3 linked regions of the Caenorhabditis elegans genome follow. The protein of the gene in region 1 interacts with the protein of each later gene in a pairwise test. Each region holds a gene or a part of one and is shown in the gene's direction. Other genes may lie near its edges.

Region 1 (6,066 bases):
CTTAATTTCAAAGTAGTTTACATTGAAGGTGATCTTGTGGAATTATTGTCTTTTTACATTCTACTTACAATTAGTCAAAAAAAGCTCAGAAAAGTAGAGCATGTTTTCAGATTTTCCAGATTTTCCTCCAAAACCAAATCTAAGTATTTTAACGTTATATGACACCTTCTTTTATCTTTGCAATACTTATTCAAAGATCATGCACGGGTTGATTTTTTGGTCTAAAACGTTGTTTTTCTTGTTCCAACTAACAAGACAGGATAGTTCAATCATCTATTGCTACTACATGCATAATTGATTTCCACACATTTATGGGGAAAGAGCGAGAGCCATGAAAATTGTTTTTTCCTTTTTCCTTTTTTCTTCTTCTCACGTTTCATTTTTTTCTCGATATTCTACTTCAACTTGAGCTGGAGTTGAGTAATTTTTGGAGACGACTTCTTTTTCTAAATAAGAGGAAGTTGAAAATTGACTTGAGGGCTTCCAGACGCAGCGAGTCTCGAGAAGTGTGAGAGTATTCCCTTTTTTCCAAAGATCACATTGTCCTTATATTTTAAAGGTCAACAATTAAAACGACGAGTTCATCAAACCAAACCATCGGACGAGAAATCAAAAAAAAATCCCGGTGCAAAAGATAACAACCACGTGACATTGACATGTTAGCTTAGAGTCCTTGAACTGATGTAATAATTAGCTGTTGTTCCGTCCTAAGCCAATTGGCCCCTGATAATCTTCATGACGTGTCAAAAAAGTCATCTGACTGTCCCCAAAAAAGGCGGTCTTCATTCAGAGTGCGTAAGAAAAATGATAAAATAATGTTCCAATTTGTGTCTCCAGTCGCGTTTTTTCCACACCCGCCGTCCGCCACCAGCGAGCAAAGAACATTTCGAGCGCGTGTTTCAATAGTCGTCCCTTTAATGTCTGCGTCTTTTACATTCCAGTACACTATTCATTACGGGTTTCTCTGTCTCTCATCTTCATCTCCATGTACGTGTTTGCACGATTCGGTTCCCGTATACCTTGTAGGACAGGTGTGTGTACCGTGTGAATACTGCCGTACTTATCTTCATGCTTCCTACTTTTACTTTAACACCTATTTGGTATGGTTGTCAAGTTTCAGATTAAGCAGAAAAGTTCACTACGAACATATGTAGTTCTGATTTGACTTTCTGATGACTTTCTGATGAGTTGACCTAAAATATGCACTTTCTTTTAGATTAATCTCGGAGATATACCCAGTTTAGCGAGAAGAAAGAAATTATGGAAAAATGTTGTTGGTCATGGGTCACGAAACATAATAGTTTTCAATATAATAAGATTTACATAACTAAATTTAACCCGAGTTAAAGTAATAAGTCGCCTTTTGCAGTTGGTTTAGAATTTGGGCTCTCGTCTCTGTATTGTCATCCCTAATGGGCTTTCGTTTTTACAGCTTAAAAATTAATTTTTCATGAGTTCTCCCTTAATTTGACTTTTTAATAATTTTTGAAACTACTCAGTATGTTGTATTTCTTTTAATAACAAAAGGTTATATCATTCATGGATTTGCCACCTAAAATTATGATTTTTTTTTGTTTTTTACATAGATGCAACCAGGTTTTGTATTTGGTACTTGCGTAGAACTATTATTATGAAAAGCCTGTATTTATATCTTTGTTTTTGTTGATCAGTTGAGGTAGTTTTCTTATCGGTTAGTTCAAAAAGTTAATGCGACATTTCAAATTTGTGCATATTTTGCTTCCCCCATGACCACAAATAATTTCGGCATTTGTGTAGTGTGTAGTTAGAAAAAGTGATACTGATGTTAAAATTAAATATTTCAGACTTTTCTAGTACGCAATTTTAACTAAAAAATGGTGATTAGATATTTTATACCGATTTCAAAACGTTTTTGATATGCGTAGTTCAGAATTGACTACGGATTTATCGGTTATCTCATTTTTGTTCTTCTCTCAAGTAATATTTTTTGCAGCCAAATTATTATTTTAAGGAAACTGTAAAAATGTAGGTACTTATTGTTAGAGGCTAGAACCACAATGAAAGTAAAGTATGTTTCTGTCTCAAAGATGTTATAGTCTTCAGAACCAACCTCATATGGCAAATTTAAAGCTTGAGTTTATCTACCCAAAAGGTTACCTTTTAAACATTTGAACTTTGAAATCAAACCGGATATTTGATATCATACAATCTAGTTGTTTCCGTGTGTATCAATTTTGTAGGTTGTAGTGTTCGTTAATTGAGAACCAAAATATTCATTTTCGCTTTCATTTTCCTCTTTCTTCCATCATACTTCAATAATTCAAACACGTGTAGTTTGTATGTTTGTTGATAATGTTTTTATTGCCTTTTCTCTCATTAATTACTCCTCCCGTGATATCCAACTGTTTCGTCTTACAGGTGTCCTCTTCACAGAATCAAATCGTCACAAATCATGGGCCCTAGATCAAGTAAGTGATTCCCTTTTCTCCTGCGAATTGTTCATTGCTTCCTTTTCCTATCTTCTTATGTTTTCCTCTTCTTGTTGATTTCTCTATCATATAACATCTTGACCAGACTATATCCATAACTTTATAATCTTTTAAACATACTTTAGCTAACATTGACTTATAGAAATTCAATTGTATTCAATTGATAGAAAACATGAGTTGTGGCTGTGAATAATAAACATTCCAACTTAAAATGTTTTGTTCTTCTCAAGGATTGAATACCAAACTTTAATGTTGCGTACATATCCTGGTGCTTACTAAATTTATATTTTATTCGTATTTTTCCTAATTAAGTTTTTACCAATGTAGCCTTTAATAAAGTTCAAATTAAACCAACAATTTTTCTTTTGTTTCTTTTATCGCAGATAAGCCGGTAAAAATTGGCACCAGCCATAAGCATACAAGTAACTACTTCCTTCTTTTTTCCTTGATAATCTGTTCAATGATCCTACCAACCGAACACATCTTTCATTCAGTGGCTCTTCACACCTTCCCTCCCATTTTCACTTTTTGTTCCGCACAGCCGGTTGTTTCGTTGCTCACCTCCCATTGCTCCATACTCTCACGTCCTCTCTTTTCTATTCTTTAAAGTACAATTGTGTGGAAATGGGTCTGCCACTTGGGCAGTTATGCCCATAGAAACTCCACGGGTCATCTCGACTTTCAAACCTATCTAATTTTCATGATGTCATGAATTACTTCATTTCATTTCATGTCCTCTGTTTTCATATCATTCTTTTATTTCATCCTTTTTCTCTTTTTTGTGATAATAGTTTTGCGTTCATTTTGTTCATTGGTAATTTAGTTTTGCTAATTAACATATTCTGCATCGAATTACTATCCTTATTTCTGTTTTCTGTACTCTTGTTTTTCTGGTCTTATATGACAAGATCATTGAAATAACACGCATTCCTGTCTGCCTCAACGAACTAGAAGAAAAACACATATGAGACCAGGGAGGAAATAAAAATTCTAATCAAAAGCCTAGAGGAGTTTATGACGAAGATGGAAAACATGAAAGAATAAAGAAATTAACTAGAATTTCGAAGAATTTTTTTCTGATATCTTGTCTTTCTACGTTATAATAATCTGCCAAATTCAAACTGCCAAAATGTAAGAAAAAACTATATTTTGAATATTTTAAAACAATATCTTTTGAAATCCATATTTATGCAGTTTCGCCTTTAAATAAATTTACAGTTTTTGATTCATGTATTTTTTTTTTCCTGTTATGACAATTTTGATTTTTGTAAGCAAAACATATTTCTAAATTTTAAATGATTAATATCATCTTAATCGGATTATAAGCACTGATTTCAACCTTATATTTCTATAATCACTTGCGAGATATCAAAAGATCAAAAGGTTTCACATTAGTAAAAATTTTGATAGCTATAATTAAATTGCAGGATTTGCAAGTATTCCTCGACTATAATTATTTTTACCAGCAATGAAGGGTTCCCTATCAAGTGATAGGATTAAATTAAAAACAAAAAAGTAAAAATTGTTCGTTGTTCCCCCTATTCTTCCTCTGTTTATTTCTCTTTTTCCTAGACTCCTCCGCGCGAGCGCAAAATTAATGGGAACAAACAATCGGAACAAAGTTCGTCGCAATGAGAAATGGAAGAGTTGACTGTAGTTTATGCTGCTCGGAACAGATCACAATATGAATGGACAGTAGGAAAAAATGAGCGAGACTCCTCTTTAAAAGTGTGAACAGTTCTTGCACTATTAGCAGCCGAATCATTTTTTGTACATTTCTCTATTCGTGCTGATTGCTTCTCGGCTAATCCATAGATCATACTATATCAGAGATCGCTATATTTTTGAAGAGCACAACTACTACTCTCAGAATGCACCGTCAAAGAGGTAATTGTTATAATTTATAAATTCACAAAATTTTCTAAATTTCAATTCCATGTTTTAAAAAAAGTCCACAGCACAAACTTCAAAAATTTTGAAATAAAGCTTAAGCTTCACTAGTAAGTGTCAAATGAAACTTGATACGGACCACTGCAGTTTTAAAACTTTTGAAAGTCATTTTATACTTTTTCATTTGCACTGGTGGAAAACGAACTTTTGATATCATCTTCCAGCATGTCCTTTAGTTCTTTCTCTGAATAATCTCATTATTATTTAATTTTCCTCGTCTGTGAATAGTTTTTTTTTCAAAAAAAAAACACAATTTTCCAATCATTATTATTCGTTTGAACACCTTCTGGTTTGAAATCTTTTGTTAACTTCAATGGTCACAAAATTTTTGTGACTCTTTTTCTCTAAACTCTCACTGCTCTTTCTTTCTTTGCCTTTTTGCAAGACATTTTTTACATGCCGTGAAATTTTTGTTCTTGGATTGATGTATGTTATTATTATAAAATTTAATAATAGTCGTGCTTAATGACGTAAATCATGTAGTTCCGTTTTGATTTGTTCAATGCTCAAAGGGGGATTTGAACGTGTTGAAACCAAAACTCATTGCTATAAATAAGAAGAAAAAGGCTTTGATCTTTAATTTTGATCAGAATGTTGTGGTTTTCGGGGATTGGCGCTCTACACGATAATATACGATGTGTCCCTGCTACGTGATTTTTTGAACATTTTCGGAGGAAGAAATCTAGAAGTCAGGGTTAATGGCTTTATATTTTATTCTATTCTGATGAGAATTTACAACAAATTGGTTCCTATTTTCTTGAAACATTTGTTTTTTCCAAACTATGCACTTAAAGTAACCACGTGTCAGATCGTGATTAACAAAACAGATGGTAGTGGGAGAAGGCGTCGCGACAGATCAGAAATGGAGATGATTAAAGATCGCACAGATTTTTTATATTTTTGTGATAGAGAGGTCGAAGAGATCAACTGTATGCAGTCAAAATACGCATTTTTATGACAAAAATATTGAGAACAATTCGTTTGTAAAAAATGGAAGAGATCTTTGCTTGTTTATGATGTCACATGTTGAATTGAATTTTATGAAGAGTCTAGACATTCAAAGAAAAAAGGGATTCCCCAAATGACTTCGGCCAACGTTGAATTTAGAAATAGTCATTTCCGCAATAGTGTGTATTTCAAAAGTTTCGATAAATTACCTTATTCCTTTCGATTTTATAATATGCTTCTAATCACTTTTATCAGACCACTAATTTTCAACCAAAATACAGCATGTCAGTTCAGAATTCCAATTTTCGTAAGATTAAAATCTTCTGTCCTGATGTGTCTGGGGGAGTGCCTTTGCCTGCAGATGTCACGTGGAACATTTTTTTGCGGTGCACTTTTCATTCAGACGTCAATGTTTTTTGTTGGAAGTCTGATGAATCTGCCACTACCAATTTTATACTGAGCAGCTCATTAGGTTTAAAATTTGTTCTGGTTTATGCCAATTTATTCATTCATTTTTGTTTTAATTCCTTACATTTCAATTTAATTCTAATTTTATAAATACATGCTATTATATGCTCCAGACTTTCCTCACCTGTCTGTCTTTTGCCAGGTGAACGCCCTGGAAGGTACGGGAGGTACGTCTTAGCTGGGCGTGACACACTACTAGAAATTTTATTTGTTTTTGAGAATTTTCTAGGTG
Region 2 (4,831 bases), on another chromosome or scaffold:
TCAGCATTTTAGGTATTGATAAAATAAGTTCAAGCTAGAAATTTTCCTTGTTTTCCCAAAAAAAAATTTTTAAGGTGGGGTACCGAAATCTGGGAAATATTTTTGAATGAATCCTAATTTTCCCCTGATTCCGAGTATCTATGTGAAAAAATTCAAAATTCAAAACAAGTTTGCCAGATTTTATATTTAAGCTTGAAATCGCCGAATTTCATTTGTATCCCGGTCTCTTTTTTAAATACGCGCTCAAATAAATTAGCATTGGAGCGCGCTTGCATTGTTTGATTTTTTTTCGTTTTTTTACATTTTTTTCAGAAAAAAAAAACCGACAAAAATGAATGAAACTGGTTTTAAAAAAATTGAATTCGGCTAAAATAAAAAAAACTAAACGAAAAAAAGTCAAACGATGCACGCGCGCGCTAATTTATTTGGGCGCGAGTTTGAAAAAAGTGATGCGAGTACAAATGAAATTTAAAAAAAAAAAATTTTTATGAAAGATTTCAAGCTTAAATATAAATTCAGGAAATTTTTTTTGAATTTTTTCACATAGATATTCGGAATCAGGGGAAAATTTAGGGTGAATTAAAAATATTTCCAAGATTCAAGTTTTTTTGGTTAGACCCTTATTAATTTTTGCGTGCTGACGTCACAATTTTTCTGGAAAAATATTCCCGCATTTTTCGTAGATCAAACCGCAATGAGACAGCCTGACACCACGTGTATCGGTTTATTTTTAAGATACCACATGGAAATTGACAAATTCTCGATTCACCATGACTAAAACTAGAATATTAATAAAATTTTAGCTATAAGTATTTGTCTGTTGCTTCTCGACAAAGCTGTAGAAAAAGTTTCGAAAAATTGAATTTTTGAATTTGAATTTTTGATTTTTTTGATCCCAAGTTTTTTTCCAGTTCGTTCCAGTAATAATTATATATATATCTAGGCAAATAAATCTCCCCTCGCTTGAAATAAAAAAAAATAAACTCAAGACATATCAAATAAGCAATCAACTTTCATGTCCGCTATATAAGGTCTGAAACATTTATGGAAAAAGTTTGTTTGCCACAAAGATTTATTCGTTGACATTTTTTAAGAATGTTCCCAAGATGGAAGTCATGAATTTATACTTTCTTGGAATAATTTTATTACCAACTGTTTTCTGATTTTTTTTTGGTTAAAAATGTCCCCCCGTCTCATTTCATTTTCCCGCTAGAATATATTTTTTCTCCTGCAACCTATAAACTTCCGATAATTGATGATATTTAAATAAAAGTGTTCAGTGATATTACGGAAAAAATGCAAAAACCTCAAACTTTCCAAAATAACGTACGACTTTTTAAAAGTAAGTAATTTACATTTAACATGCGTAGTATTATGTTTCTCTAGTTTTACATTTTCCTCAAGTTCTAATAGGAATATATCAAACTTCAAAAGAAATTTAGAGCATTTGGGAGCAATTTGGGCTCGGAAAATTTTTTTGGTTTTTTTATTGTATTTTTAAATTAAAAAAAAAAGAGCCGTGAAATTGCTCAAAAAAAAAAAGGTTTTTTTGCGTGCGGGTTGCATATCCTCATTTTAAAAGTAATTTTTTAGGCTATAAAAATATAAACTTGTGAAAGATATGTTTTTTTCTGGATTTTGTGAATTTCTGGAAATTTCTCTTTCTTTTTTTTCTACCCTTCCCTCACCCCCGCCTGAGCTTATTCTGAAGCCAACACCTAAGCCTAAGCCTAAGCCTAAGCGTAAGCCTAAGCCTAAGTCTGAGCATAAGCCTAAGCCTCAGCCTAAGCCTCAGCCTAAGCCTAAGCCTAAGCCTAAGCCTAGGCCTAAATTTAAGTGTAGCCTTAAGTCTAGACCTAAGCCTAAGCCTAACAATAAGCTTATACTCAGTAGACATCCTTACAAAATTAATTCGATTTCCATGAAAAATTGTAGATCAACCTTGCTGGTCTATTCAAAAGGTTTTTTTCAAATAATTGAGGTTATATTTGAAAGTCCAAGTATTACAAATTAGCACAATAATATCACATGTGCCTCCGCTACTCCAAAATTTCAATTCAAATATTTAAGTTCAAGAAAAGTATTTAATAGTCAAGTATGAGAAACTCATTCCCTCAATTGCATCAAGTATCATCCCTTACCACCAATCCTCCTCTCCCCCTCCTCCTTCTCGAAATCCGGTCTCTTATTCAATTTGCTGGCTCATGCTCTTTTTGTCATCATCTCAGAACTCACCCATCTTCTTCTTCTTTCCACACCAATTGCGCAATCATTGTCGACCACTTTGGCAAATTGTCGTCGTCGTCAACCGTCAAAAGTCCCCCGAGAGTCCAGAATTTCAATTATTTGATTGAAGAGAAGGCGGGGACCTCGAGACCTACTGTATAGAGAAGTCTCTCAGAAGTTCTTTTCATTCGTGCAAAATGGAAACTGACTTGCTCTTCCAACTACTTCAACCCTATTTTGCACTGTTGACGTCTGATGTGAAGCCTCAGAGAAGAACTAGTCACCTGATAAAGGATATACTTGACTTACCAACTGTTAATGGAGAAATTGATGAATTTGGAAGATGCAGTAAGTTGATTTCTTTGGATTAGGTGTATGAAGTTTTGTAGTTGAAAAATAGACTAGTTTTGGGCATGGTGCATTTGAGGTGAAATACTATTCTTTTTGACATGGTGCATCGATTCGTATTTTCTGTAATAGTATTTCACTGGCCTTTTTTTGAGTAAAAATTACAAAAATTACAAGACACAATTTTTATTTCCTTTACTCTCAATTTTTGTTTTAAAATATTAGAAAATCTGAAAAAAATTAAAATGTTTTCGAAATTTTGGAAAAAAAATTTTTTGGAAATTTACTAATTTTGTTCAATGAATTTCGGAAAAATGCTACACGTAGAAAAATAATCAGCCGTTAAGAATATTTTTTCAGAATCCAGCCTCGACCAAGCCAAAGAGTCTCCTATAGAAAAATGTCAAAAAACAAAGAGAAAGAAGGCGCGGACGACATTTTCCGGGAAACAAGTATTCGAACTGGAGAAGCAGTTTGAGGCGAAAAAGTATTTGTCAAGTAGTGACAGAAGTGAGCTTGCAAAACGATTGGATGTCACGGAGACGCAGGTAGGCACGCAGCGCGGCACGCAACGCGGCACGCAACGCAGCCCGCAACGCAGCACGCAACGCGGCACGCAACGCGGCACGCAACGCAGCACGCAACGCAGCACGTAACGCGGCACTCAACGCATAGCTGAAATTTCTCAAATTCCAGGTGAAAATCTGGTTCCAAAACCGGCGTACCAAGTGGAAGAAGATCGAATCGGAAAAGGAAAGATCTGGAGAAATACCGGATGATCAGATTGTGAAGCCGCAATAATTTTATGTTGTTTTTATTTTTCAAAGAAAAAGTCGTGATATATCCCCTTCTATGAAATCCCGTGAACAATTAGTATTTCCAGTATCTTTTTTTCAAAATCAAGATCTCTTCCTTTACCTTGATCTCCATTCTTCTAATAAATAATTATTGCAAAAATATTTACTCGCTCTATTGATAGCTATATTGTGTACTCCACGTGGATATTTTTATTGAGGGTGCTCTTTCTTTTATGTCTCACACGTTAAAAATTAAAGATTACACGATAAAACATTTTATTGCAGACCCGATAAGTACGTCAAATTACACACACAAACACAATTTCCTACAGTCTAGGCAGTCATATATTTCGAGCAGTCAACACTGTTCTTAGTTGTTCTGAAGAATGGGCACTTGGTGTCTGGGCAGTTTAGTGGAATGGTAGGATCTGACAGATTGACTTGATGGTTCTTGGATCCGACTGGTTGAACGATATTGTTCCACAAGTGCTTGGCAACATTGGCGTGGCCTAGTTTTGAGAAATGGAAGCAATCCGGTGCAAACCAATCCAGATTGACTTCTCCGTCGGGCTTGAGTGGTGGAACTGTGATTCCATTGAAGAATGGTTGAACGACAAATGTAAAGTCATCTGTTGAGTCGAAGATTCCCGAGTCTTGAATCTCCTGCTGAGCATCCATGTAAAGATGGCAGGCAGCCGAGATGTCGGTATTCGGGAAGTCCTTGTTCTTCTCGCATGGGCACTCGAACACATGGAGGCCGTCGCAGAAATACTTGTCGTGGTCGATTTGGCGAAGCATGGCCATGTCGAACATTCCGGTCATGGATACGATGGTTCTGGAAGGACTTGGTATTGATGGCATAGTTATGGACCATACTCCTCTTTTTGAAAAAAAAATTTCCATAAAAAGCCGAAAAATGTTGGCTCTTATTATCGAAAAATACGATCGCAAATTTTTTTCATAATTAATTTTTGATCTACCTTTGGAAGTTGACTCTGCCCACGTGGTGTCAGAGTGTCTCATTTTGGCTTGAATTACGTTGATCTACAAAAAATGCGGGAGAAGAGACGCAGAGTTCTCAACTGATTTTGTATGGTTAAGAACGTGCCGACGTCACTTTTTTTTTGGGCGAAAAATTCCCGCATTTATTGTAGATCAAACTGTAATGGGACAGCCTGGCACCACGTGTTTGCCCATAATCTTGTTGCCGTTGTTATTTTGTTGTGGCTGTCTTGTCGAAGGAAGGGGAGGAGCCTAGTCAACAAGGTAGATCAAAAATAAGTTACGAGAAAAATTTGCGATCGTATTTTTTCGATAATATGTTTAACTTTAATTTATAATTGGCACGGAAACGGCCACAATTTTAAAGATTTTTTTGCGCCACTGCTATGGGATCAAGGGTGTGCCAAATTTCCCGAATTTGCCGGTTTCCGAGCAAGGCAAATTTCAAAAATTTGGAC
Region 3 (5,628 bases), on another chromosome or scaffold:
TAAACCTTTAATTAAGATCAACTCCCTATCCATCGAGAAAACTCGAAAACCTTCTCGAGTCTGCCACGTGTCTTCTAATTCCTACCCGATGTGCTCACTTCCTGTCGGGACCTTTTGAGTTGTAAAATAGTGAGAGAGAAGATGACCACGCGTAGAATCAATATTTAGGTGAGACTGTGCGTGATCTGAACAGGAAATCATTGACTTTTGGAGAATAACGTTTTTTTCTTCAATATGCATATATCTTTTTTGTAAGTCATAGTTATCGGTTTTCTCTTTTTTTTTTAGCGAAAATTGATTTCTAGCTTTTCTCGAAGTGTTCAAAAAACTGCAAAACTTACTTTCGTACAAAATGTAGAAATTTTCGAGATTAAAAAATTTAAATTACAAAATTTTGTATTTCGGTCTTTCTATTTCTTCGTGTTTTGGAAAAATATTTTTTTAAATGGAATACGATAAACTATGAAATATAACTTGTAAAGTTTGTTTTCTCTTACACCACAATAGTTGAAAAATGGCTGTAAATTTTTCACATTTCTCCCCGGTTCTAAAAATTTTCCAATATTCTGGATTAATCCAGCATCCATTTAATCATCTTATCTTTCAAATCCTTATCAATCGATGGAATCTACAGTATCCTCGAATACTTGTCCGTTATCACCTTCTCTCGCATGCATGTTCATCTTTTCATTCGTTATTTCACACCTTTTGAGGTATACAGGAAGTGGGGGAATCAGTTAAAACATACATATGTCCACGTGTCGGCTAATTTAAGAGTGCAACTCTATAGAAACTGCAAATTCACTTTTCGTACAATTTTTTTGACTAAAAGAATGAAGAGTTTGCAATACTAACGAAGAAGTGCAATACTATTAGGGACGCAAGACTAATTGGGACTTCAAGTCTATATTTCAATCGATATGAACTCTAAGAGAGACTCAAAAATAAAATAAAATAAAACATATTTCTAGTTTCTAGATAGTTTTCAATAAGGAAAATATGGCGTCCACCAGCCAAAGGAAGAATGAGGGTCAGGTTGAATCCGGATAAGAAGATATTTCCAGGGATAATCTTGTTGAATTCTCATGTTTTCTGATTTCAATTTTTTTTCTCAATTTTTTAAAATATTCATCAATGAACATAATACTTTAAACCTCTGAGAGAACCAGTCAGTTTCTGATTTAAATATCAGAAAAATGATTGTGTTAAAGATCGAAGCAAACATACCACATTTTTTCAGTATTGCAGCCATTTTTTGGAAAAGTTACATGAATAATTTATAGACTCTGAAGATGTTCTACACTTTGTGAGTTTATTGTCTTAAACTGTAGTACGCGGAGATATTAGTATGGAAGCTAAAGGAAACTAGAAAAACATTTGAAAATGTACGAGAAAATTTGACTAAAATATAGGATGGATTTTGAACTCTAAAATCTAGGGTTATGAAATTTAAACGTCCTAAGCGATTTGTAATTTAATTTTGAAACTTTAATTGTGAAACTAAAGTGAGGTCAAATTTCTCACATTACTTTCCTTAATTCTTAATTTTTTCAGGAGCAGACAATTTTGTTCAAAAATTTCGAAATTTTCTAAATGTTTAAATATAATTTTTTGCTCATTACTTCAATCTTGATGAGTAATTTCATAGAATATATTTTGCCAGTAACATTTAACTGTCTCAAAAATTTTTTTGGCATTTGAAATGTCATTTTTTAAACTTTTTCATGATCCAAATAGTTCACACAAAACTGCTTTAATCCAATTAATTACAAATAAAAGAAATATAGGTTACCATATCCACAAAATCAGGATGTTCACACTCTTATTCTATCACTTGGGTGTTCACATCCGGCTGGTTTTCTTCTCACTTCTTTCGTTCTCCTCACTTAGTAGGTGGAGTCTACCAACCAGTCGCTCGTCGTCCGCCCGCTCAATGACTCCGCCCACTTTCTTGTCTCTCCGTGGGTCCCAGGGCTCTCGGTTCTCTTTTCGTTTGTGACACTTCCAACTGTCCTATCTGTGTTTGTGTGTATCTAGTAATCAATCACAAACTTCTATATCTGTTCAACGGCATGAACATCTGTATGCGAAATGGTTATGAGCAATTCTCACTGACATCTCCAGGAACATCGGATCTCGAAATTGGTGGATCATTTTGGAAAGACGAACCGGATACCAAGTACTTGTGCCTTGATTCTCCTGTTGAACGTGAGTGTTTTTTTTTTAATTTGAAAATGTTAAGCGTGGGCCAAAATATTTCAAAGAATTTACATCCGGAAAAAATTTTTTTGTAAATTTTCTGAAAATCACAGCTTAAAAAATTCAAAACAAAAGTTAAGTTAGATTCATAAAATTTCCATTTGAAAAGACATCTAACAGATCTAAGAATACAACACCTTCTCTCAAACTCCACTTAATCTTGAAAAATAAATCTTAAAATGTCAAAATCCCTGCAATAACAAAATCGAAAGAAGGAGAGGGAGAAAATCTGGAAAAAAAGATTATTCGCACTTCTAAGCCTTAAATATCCGTCTATTTTCCCCTGAATTTTGCAACTTTTTTATCTGAAGCTCTGGTGCTCTTCCGATTCTTTTCCCATACTACTTATAGGGATGAGCCAATGAATAAATGAGCAAAGTTCCGAAAGGTGTCTGAACTTAATGGGCTCACTTCCAAAAAATTTTGAAGTCATATAACATTACTAAATTTCTTGGTAGAAAAAACCCATTTGAGCTACACATTTTTCCATGACACCTTGCTTATTCACCAGTTTGGCAAACAAAAGAATCGGGGGGTCTCACACAAAAATATATTTTGTTGATTAAACGATATGATGGGGGTGGGGAACAAATGGGAGGCTCCATCAAAAAGCTCTTAGTTCAATCAAGTTCTGAAAGTTTAAAAGAAAACAAAAATCGCTATTTCTTTCATTCCATTTGTCCCCCTCCTCTTTTACTTTTTTCTTTTCCACCTTCTTCTTGTTGTCTTAAAAACGCATAACTTCATCTGGTCCTTCGATGAAGATCTAAGCTATAATCGCCTTATGCACATCACATGTACATATCCGGTTTGAAGATTTCAACAACCCAACCAGATTTTCTCGATTTTCTTGGCCTCGAAAACTTAACCTAGAAAGTTTTCAAATAAATATATGATATTAATAAAAATTAACTTTTCACAGTTTTGTATTCCGAAAGTTTTTAAAACCTAATTTTCTTCAAAAAAAGTTTTTCTCTAGGTCAATTTTCAATTCTAATTTCAAATCGCAACACTCTCCTCCCAAATAAGTAGTTATTTGCCGCCGCTCCGATTATGATTACTGTAGTGGTGGGGTGTTTATAATTGCTTATATTAAGTAAACTTTCCTTCTTTTTTTGGGATTGTTACTTCTTGTTTGTCAACGGCCAGTTTACTTCCTAAAATAAGATGTCAAATGTTGAACAAGGGGATTATCAATAGTTTGAAATGACTACCTTTAGTTGTTATAGTTTTAAAATTAGAACATTTTAATATGTTATTTTTTAAACAGTAGGAAGCTGTCGACTTTAAATTCTTCCGAATAAAAACGGAGCTCAATAAAATTAATGACGTGGCAAAACAGTGCTGACAGAAGAGGGCAAAAATAAAATAAAAAACGTTTTGGCAGCTACTAACATCCCCAAACACCCCACAAATGAGCTATTTTATGAGTTTTGTTAGGCTCTCCCTGCCTTTCTTCACTTTTTTCTTGAAGCCATGAACCCCTTCATGACACCTAACTGGGTATCATTATCCATTTGTGCGCGTGGCCCTCCCCTCTTTCTATTACTTTTCCCTAAATAAAGCTTGAGCTCCCCTCCTCTCACAAACCCTGTAATCTTCAAATCAAAGTCGACGGGTAATTTGGGTTAGAGTAAAGTTAATCGAGCTTTCATTTTTCAGAACGTCAGCACCAACCACCGATGGCAGTTTGTGCCGGCTGTCGATTGGGTAAGCTCTTTCGGGGACTAAATTCCAAAAAATTATTTATTTTCAGAAATATCAGATCGGTACTTCCTCAGGGTCAATCCCAATCTGGAATTTCACGCTCAATGTCTAAAAGTGAGTTTTTGAACATTTTTATAACTGAAAAATGGTTTATAAGTATCTCGTCTCACTTTGAAGGATTTTATCTCAGTTTGTTTTGAATATATCAAAAATAATAAAAATACACAACCTTTTCGATAGAACAAACAACAACCGAGATACTAATTGAGTGCAGTGTAGTCTCATGGTTTTTTTTCTAAACAACAATTTCGAAAATTACACGGGGGTGGATTTTCACAAGAAAACCTAATTCATTCCAAATGATCTCATTCAAAAATGTATTGCACAATGAGCCCCTCCAACTGTCTTAATACCTTAAAGCTACAAAAGTCCAGTAAAGAGAGAATTTACACGCATGACTTGACACATTGTTTGTTCTTTTATTCAACATTTTGATGTATGTTTCTATATGTATGTAGGATTTCCATTTTGCATATTATTCAGAATTCCAACCTTTTCCCCTTTTCTCTTTTCTGCTCCTTTTGAATTATTCACCAATTTGATACCTTTATTCCGGGTCATTGTACTTTTTGCTCTTGCCCCACGACTTTTAAGCAAAGGACAAAAAGTGAATATTATACAAAAAAGGGAAGGGGGAGGAGAAAGGGCAATGATGATGAAATGAAATGAGACAAAGACGGAAAAAAAGAAAAGAAAAAAATCAAAACGTGTTGACCAGGAAGCATAAAAAGGGGGAGAAGCACGGAAGAGACGGATCAAATTACTGCGCAAATTCGCGCATTTTGTTGATTTTTTGAGTGTGAAGATTGGTGTATACAACTCACTGGGACAGAGGGACCCTTGCGTGACCAGTCAAGGTGGCAACCATCTGTCGTGTTGGAATAGGCGATGAATACCTAAACAGTAGTAGAATAGATCACGCTATTCAGTTAACTATTTACCTGTTTACCGCATAGTAACCCAGTTGTGGAATTTTGACATTGTCAACTCTCACCACGAACAAAAACTTGTCAAATGAAGGCTTCGCAAAAAGATGTGATCCTTTGAAAACTAAAAAAAACTGTAGCGGATTCCCCCTAATTTTGAACATTTCTTCGATTTTTCCAAAAATGTTTTCTCTAAAAATAATTATCTTGTTGAAAAACGAAGGATGCGAGACCGTACTAAAAATACCCTTAAAATATTTTTGCAACTGTAATATAACAAAATATAATGTTTTATGAATAAAATTTTCAGGCAGGATTTTAATACAAACCCGTTTAATTAAAATTTAAAATTTCAGTGTGTCCAATGCTCTCGCCCACTCGACGAAAACCAGACAGCATTCGTGAAAAATGGACAAACGTATTGCCGGGATGATTACAGAAGGTAGGTCAAATGATGGCAGATGTGCATCTTTTTGTGTAGTTACTTCCATAAACGATCATGAAGAGTCAAAGTGAAATAGACAATTACCTTACTTCCGCCGGAAAACGGAGCATACACCTGTCTCTCTTTCGCTTACTTCCCCGAGTACAATGACTTTGGGAAGACAGGGAATGGGGTGTTGACTCACTTACTATTATAAATAATAATAATAATAAGTTTGGAAAATGTTGCGCT

The links.
Region 2: the proteins of nhr-21 (region 1) and ceh-9 interact in a two-hybrid assay, tested with the Caenorhabditis elegans proteins (one large-scale study listed by BioGRID).
Region 3: the proteins of nhr-21 (region 1) and lim-7 interact in a two-hybrid assay, tested with the Caenorhabditis elegans proteins (one large-scale study listed by BioGRID).

The regions. Positions count from the first base shown.
Region 1 is NC_003280.10:7,336,832-7,342,897, forward strand, and holds the start of nhr-21 (NR LBD domain-containing protein), read left to right. Parts: upstream 1-2,397; 5' UTR 2,398-2,431; coding exon 2,432-2,447; intron 2,448-6,066.
Region 2 is NC_003279.8:563,984-568,814, reverse strand, and holds ceh-9 (Homeobox protein ceh-9), read left to right. Parts: upstream 1-2,226; 5' UTR 2,227-2,423; coding exon 2,424-2,574; intron 2,575-2,934; coding exon 2,935-3,122; intron 3,123-3,270; coding exon 3,271-3,375; 3' UTR 3,376-3,531; downstream 3,532-4,831. Other genes in the region: Y65B4BR.1 (Lipase_GDSL domain-containing protein), read right to left, coding at 3,705-4,206.
Region 3 is NC_003279.8:5,714,604-5,720,231, forward strand, and holds the start of lim-7 (LIM/homeobox protein lim-7), read left to right. Parts: upstream 1-1,970; 5' UTR 1,971-2,072; coding exon 2,073-2,208; intron 2,209-3,921; coding exon 3,922-3,969; intron 3,970-4,015; coding exon 4,016-4,080; intron 4,081-4,769; exon of another isoform or gene 4,770-4,919; intron 4,920-5,308; coding exon 5,309-5,394; intron 5,395-5,628. UniProt on the Caenorhabditis elegans protein: Probable DNA-binding transcriptional activator.